Linked DNA regions of Elephas maximus indicus. Each later gene encodes a partner of the first gene's protein in a complex. Links are inferred from orthologs where the notes say so. Each region holds a gene or a part of one and is shown in the gene's direction. Other genes may lie near its edges.

What was found.
Region 2: PIGC (region 1) and PIGY share a complex: the UniProt entries of both Homo sapiens proteins name them as parts of the glycosylphosphatidylinositol-N-acetylglucosaminyltransferase (GPI-GnT) complex. The link is inferred for Elephas maximus indicus from reciprocal best matches to the Homo sapiens genes PIGC and PIGY.

What each region holds. Positions count from the first base shown.
Region 1 is NC_064821.1:210,810,249-210,814,002, forward strand, and holds the start of PIGC (phosphatidylinositol N-acetylglucosaminyltransferase subunit C), read left to right. Parts: upstream 1-1,475; 5' UTR 1,476-1,763; intron 1,764-1,800; exon of another isoform or gene 1,801-2,050; intron 2,051-2,799; 5' UTR 2,800-3,007; coding exon 3,008-3,754. UniProt on the Homo sapiens protein: Part of the glycosylphosphatidylinositol-N-acetylglucosaminyltransferase (GPI-GnT) complex that catalyzes the transfer of N-acetylglucosamine from UDP-N-acetylglucosamine to phosphatidylinositol and participates in the first step of GPI biosynthesis.
Region 2 is NC_064823.1:66,838,120-66,840,964, reverse strand, and holds PIGY (phosphatidylinositol N-acetylglucosaminyltransferase subunit Y), read left to right. Parts: upstream 1-1,420; 5' UTR 1,421-1,437; coding exon 1,438-1,653; 3' UTR 1,654-2,194; downstream 2,195-2,845. Other genes in the region: PYURF (protein preY, mitochondrial), read left to right, coding at 1,202-1,343. UniProt on the Homo sapiens protein: Part of the glycosylphosphatidylinositol-N-acetylglucosaminyltransferase (GPI-GnT) complex that catalyzes the transfer of N-acetylglucosamine from UDP-N-acetylglucosamine to phosphatidylinositol and participates in the first step of GPI biosynthesis.

The sequences.
Region 1 (3,754 bases):
TGGCAGCACTGAAATGCTCTTTGCACAAAAATTCAAACAAACAAAGAAAACCCAGAAATATGTGCTCTATAGCAGTTTGTTTGGAAGAGGAGGGACTGGTGGCATTGGGAGAGATTGCCTCAAAGTCAAATTTAGGGAGTGGCTACTCTATAAAGACTGGAATTGCATGGCTCTAGGCTCTTGATGATTGAAATTTGAAAATTTCAAAACAAACTAAGGCAAAGTAAAAAAGGTGGGGTGAAGAGGGAGAAGGAGGCCAGGGCGTGTCTAGAAAGGTAGCATCCAGGGGCAAAATTCTCTGGTAGAGTTAAGATGTGGCAGTAGAGAGGGAAGTTATTTCGGACAGTATCTCCCCAGGCCATGCCTGTACTCAGTGCTCACTTCTGTCTGGGGAATACAGGCTATTTCAGGTTTTTGTGCACTTGACTTGGGTTTCTCAACTGCTCAGGCTTGCCCTTCTGATAACTACTCTCCACCCCTTATTAAGAAATCATCCTCTGTGAGACCTTTCTTGAAACCGCTGCCCTCAGAGGCTGAGCTGTTACCTTTTGGGAAGGCTGAGCACTAATGGCTTGTTTGTGAAGCTGGCCTCACTAAGCCAAGGAATCTTGTCAAATTTTGGAACAGAAACCTGAAGAGAAATGCAAAGAGGTTATTTTGTAGAATTTGTCACACTTGGCCCCTGCCATTATTACAATGATCAAACTAATCTGAGAGCAGCCATGCTTTACAGTCAATACTTTACAAAACATTTTCATGTTTTATATTTGACCTTTATAACCATCCCATGAAGTAGCCAAGAGCAAACACTGTTGTCTTCATTTAACAGATGAGGAAATCAAAACTTCCCCTGAGTCACAGAGCTAGTACGTGGCCTCAGGTCTGCTGACTTTTGTGTCCAGTATATCTTGTGTTCTACTGTATCTTTTTGCTTCTTAGTGCTTTCATCTGTTTATTCATCCTCTAATATTCCATGAGCACGGAGGACTATTAGCAACCTCCCGTGTCAAGCCTCTGGCTATGTTTTCAGCCACAGGGTCCTCCACTCTCACTCATTCCGGGAGCCAAAGAGGAAAGCACCAAGGTTTGAAACTAGAGAGAACTGGGTGTTAATCTCGGCCCATCCACTCTCCACCTGCGTGGTCTTGGACAAATGACAGTATCTCTGAGCCTCAGTTTTGCCCTCTACGAAAGGAGCACGATTTCATTACTTTGAAGGTCAAAGTGGAAGAAAGCAAGCCCCACGAGTACAGGGATTTTTTGTCTGTTCCACTGACTGCTTTATCAGGAGCACTTGGGAACAGTGCTTGACGCTTGTCCGTACTCGGTGAATACCTGCCCAAAGAACGCACGGATGCGTGGAATTCCCAAGCTGAGGACCGGGCTTAATAACAGGAGCTCAGTAAAAGAATTATTATTATTTTATATTATTATTATTAATTATTATTATTATTCTCTCTCGTCTCCCAGCCAGCGTCCACCCCTATCCTCGCCCGGCCCCCCACACCCCACTACCTCTTTCTGTCGGGATTAGCTTTCCCAGGTGCCCAGCGTTCGGCTTGGGACCAGGCGCAGGGCGAGCAACCAGCAGGGGGCAGCAGCGTCCTCGCGGCGCTCCCTGGGCGGAGAAGGACGCTCTGGCCGCGGAGGAGGTGGCGGACCCGGAAGTGTTCCTTCGCCGTCGCGACCCCGGCGCCCCGGATGGGGAAGGAGGCGGGCGGCCGCCCTCTCCCGGCCGCGCACCCCTGGGAGCCCGCGGGCAGGTGGGTTCCTAGTGGACGTCAGTGTTTCCGGGTCCCCTTCTCCTCTGCCATCCCCCGTAGGCCCAAGGCTGGATGAGAGGCGGCGGCAGGCAGGGGAGGCCCGGGAGGGCGGGAAGGGCGCCCCCAGGGCCACCCTGCCTCCGCCGCGACCCTGAAGGCGGGCGTTGCCCACATCGGCGCCGCACAGCGGGTGGCTGCGGGCTGGGGTCCCTGCTCCAGTGCGGGGGCGCCCAGGGTGTCTGGCTTGTGAAGCAAAGCCTATCGTGGTCTCCATGGAAGAAATAAAGGTTGGGCAGTAAGAATTTTCTTCGCGGGTTTGCTGGATTGGCCCTGGTGTTTCTGACTTTTTCCCGTTGTGGAAAAGGAGTGATTTTTTTTTCCGTCCTCACAGGAGTTTCGCGGTTTTAAGTCGGACCGTAGCTCTTCAAAGGATGTTCAGCTCGGTTAATGGTTGAAGAATCTTTAGTTCCTTTGAGCCCTTGGTTTTGGGTAAATAAACCGCAGAGCTCATACCTTTCCGTATTGTGCGGTTTACTGTTGACTTTAGAGCGGCCCCTCTGAAGCCCATCCACGGACTCTGGTATGGGAACCAGCAGTGAGGAGCTGGCTTAGAGGGAGACAGGAGGTGAGGCCCAGGCTTTGGGATCAGACTAGGGTTTGAACACTGGCTCCCCAGTTTACCACTGTGTTACCTTGGGCTGAAGTTACCTAAGCAATTGGAACCTCAGTCGTTTTCCTAGTTAAAGTGGAACTAATACAACTTGGAAAGATTATGAAGATTAAATGAAAGATGGTACGTAAGCCACCTAGCACATAGTAAAAAATACAGGTACTCAATAAATGCTAGCTAACAGTAGTAAGTATTATTGTTCAAGGAATTATAATTTTAAAATGTGAAATGCAGTTTAAATGTCCATAATTATGAAATGGCTACTACTGCTCAGACTTTTAGTGGGTTGAGTTGGTTTGATTTTTAACTCAGTCCTATCCTTGACCTTTCACAGCTTTTGTAGGTTCATAGTCTCTCTTTTTCTAGGAAGTTGCTGTATTGTCCTGCCTCAGAGAACAAGCTCAAGCCTAGCCTGGGTTGCTGCCTTTGAAAGCAAGGGAAGGTCTGTAAAATATCAACTACAGCACAGCATGGAATTTCCAGAGAACTCTTATTTCAAAACTTCATAAAGAACCAGAACTACATGGACTTCTGCGAGGGAGACTGACCTGGCCTGAGCTTGAGGGAAAGGATAATGTGTGACCAGCCAGTAACTAACACCAAGGAGGCCAGGTGGCAGAAGGTCTTGTATGAGCGACAGCCGTTTCCCGATAACTACGTGGATCCACGGTTCTTGGAAGATTTCCGGAAAAACATCTATGCCCGGAAATACCAATATTGGGCTGTGGTGTTTGAGTCCAGTGTGGTGATACAGCAGCTGTGCAGTGTGTGTGTTTTTGTGGTTATCTGGTGGTATATGGACGAAGGTCTTCTGGCCCCTCACTGGCTTTTTGGGACTGGCCTGGCTTCTTCATTGATTGGCTATGTTTTGTTTGATCTCATTGATGGAGGTGAAGGGCGGAAGAAAAGTGGGCGGACTCGGTGGGCAGACCTGAAGAGTGCACTAGTTTTCATTACTTTTACATATGGTTTTTCACCAGTGCTGAAGACCCTGACAGAGTCTGTCAGCACTGACACCATCTATGCCATGTCAGTCTTCATGCTGTTAGGCCACCTCATCTTCTTCGACTATGGTGCCAATGCAGCCATCGTATCCAGCACACTGTCCTTGAACATGGCCATCTTTGCCTCTGTCTGCCTGGCCTCACGCCTGCCCCGGTCCCTGCATGCCTTCATCATGGTGACATTTGCCATCCAGATTTTTGCCCTGTGGCCCATGTTGCAGAAGAAACTGAAGGCATGTACCCCTCGCAGCTACGTGGGGGTCACACTGCTTTTCGCGTTTGCATCCTTGGGAGGCCTGTTATCCATCAGTGGTGTG
Region 2 (2,845 bases), on another chromosome or scaffold:
CGCAGCTTCTCCTGCGACCTGAAGGGCGAAAGGAGACTTGAGGCGAGCCGAGCCCCAGGCCTCCCAAATTAGCCGCCGGCCCGCCGGAATGCATCGGAGCGTTGATAGGTGCTCTAAGGAATCACCAGGGTGCATTTGCGGGGGGTGGGGGACGTTGTCTGGGTACCGACACGAGCGGACCGGGTCGGAATGCCTGGGGGCGGGGCCTGGACGTTTGTTTTTCTGAAAAGGACCATGGATGATTCGTGAAGCGTTCAGGTTTTAAACCCACGGTGATGAAAAATATGCTAGTAGCTTATTTTTGTGAAATGGCCGTGTACAGCTACTGCCTAACGGTATTTTAAAAATTTGAGCTTTGTTTGCTGCCCTTTGGCTCTTCACTCTGAACTAACTGGTTATTGCAAATGCTCTCTTAACCTTTAACATAGTCTTTGCTAAAGCGGCTGTACAGTTCCAGCTATTAAAACTGAACATTGACAACGGTAGTGTTACAAATTGCATAAACTAAACACCAAAATGTTAACAGTGATTATACTTGGGTGCTAGATTGCCGGTAATTTTTATTTTCATCTTTTTGCATTTCTCTTTTACTAGTGTGCCCTATAATTAACATAACGGTCATTCAATTTTTTTTAAACCTTTAAATTATTGTTGGGTCTGTCTTTTAGCTAATTGTGTAACTCGCTCACTTTAGACTTGTTTCCAAAGTTTCCTCATTTCTGCCCTCCCATCGTTCTCAAACTTTTGTGTATTTTGATTTTTCAGCGATTTCCATCTAGTGGATCAGTTAGGATACTTTACTGAGCATTTATTCTTAAATCAGGAAATTGAATTTTTCTCTAGTTTCTGTTCCAGTAGTAAATGGATTGGGATGGTTTTGGGGTTAGCCAGAGGAATGAAGGGATGTCTGGATGAAAAGAGGAAATATTTTCTGAGCAGTATGAGAGAAAACTTTTAACTAAGGCATGACTTGGGAATACAGTAAAAAGAGAATTTGAGAGAAATTGATTAAAATGGGAACAATTACAGATTTTATAAGAGAAATGGTAATATTGGCTATTGCTGCTTTTAGAATTAAAGAATACAGTTCAGTGTTAACTCTGTCGAGAATTGGACAAATAGTATTATTTATTGAATATCAAGGTCTTCCAAGAATTTTGTTTTACAAAATTCGCTTTGTGATTCTTTTCTTTTTTCCTAGATACGAAGCATCGACAAATGAATTGATTAATGAAGAGTTGGGAATAGCATATCCAGTCATCGATGGCATTCCTAATATGATACCACAGGCAGCTAGGATGACACATCAAAATAAGAAGAAAGAAGAAATGGAGCAGCACTAAACCATAATTTTTTTAAAAAAAAGAAAACTGAATTCTCTTAATATCATTTATCTTTTAAAAAGTCAGAGTGGCGGGTAATAAGTGTGGAAGAAGAATGTTTCTGTCTCTTCCTACGTTGACTGTCCTTATTCCGCTGGTTTCTTTAGCAGGACTGTTCTACTCAGCCTCTGTGGAAGAAAACTTCCCTCAGGGCTGCACTAGCACAGCCAGCCTCTGCTTTTATAGTCTGCTCTTGCCGATTACCATACCGGTTTATGTGTTCTTCCACCTTTGGACTTGGATGGGTATTAAACTCTTCAGGCATAATTAATACAGCCAGATCCAAGATGGTCTTGGGCCTTTCTCTGAAAGTTCAACCAGATTGAAATACTGGAATCCCGTTTAGTTTGCAGGAAAGGTACTTTGCCTTGCTTCTGTCAGAAGCTTAGGACTATGGGAGGCTTAAGCTGCAGGAGCTTCTTTTATTATACTCTTGTTCTGCCCTTATTTTTTCAAAGTTCTGATTTATAACAACTACTACTATATCAGAAGAAACATTTTGACAAGTGTCTTGGAAATTAATAGCCTCATCCATCAGCTGATAACTTTATACTTTATCCTACTCGTCTAAAAAGTTAGTCATTTGAAATGTTGTTTGGTTATTTAGATTTAAGCTGTTTAGTCAAGTCACATGCTAGGAACGATTGAAACAATTCCAGAGAAGCTGTGCTAGAAGAGTTCTAAAGAAATGCCTTTGAACTGGTGTGATATAAAACCTTACAATAAAATGGAAATTTCACATACTTAGAAAAAATCTTAGTTTGTAAAATTATCTTCATTTCTTTGGCATCACATGCTTACATTAATAATAATAAAATAAGATGTCCACACTTTCCCAAGTCGATTCTGACTTACAGGGTTGCTATGAGTCGGAATCCACTCGAAGGCAGTGCGTTTGGTTTTTTTTGCGGGGGGGGGGGGGGGGTGGGTAGTGCTTTTTGTCACAAGAGTGGTATAAAGGGAGAAAAATTGTAAAAATGTTCCAAATTTTAAAATGTAGGCTATGTTGAGAGACATGTACTTTGGACATGCTGTAACAAATACCACAAGTGGATGGCTTTAGCAAAGAGAAATTTTACTTTCTCACGGTCTAGTAGGCTACCTACCTGTTGCCATTGAGTTGATTCCGACTAGAAATCCAAATTAGAAATCCAAATTCAGCTCGTCAGCTCCAGCTCCTTGTCATCAGTCTTCCCCTGCCTAGGAGCTTCTCCCCACAGAAACCCCTGGTCCAAAGGACACCCTCTGCTCCCAGCACTGCTTTCTTGGTGGTATGAGGCCCTCAACTCTGCTTGCTTCTGTTTGTTTTATCTCTTGTAAGGTAAAAGGTGGTACAGGCCATACCCCAGAGGAACTCGTGTTACATTGGATTAGAGATGTGACCTGAGTAGGGGTGTTCCATCCCACCCTAATCCTCTTTCACCACAGCAGAGATTATCATTTATAACACATAGGAAAACCAC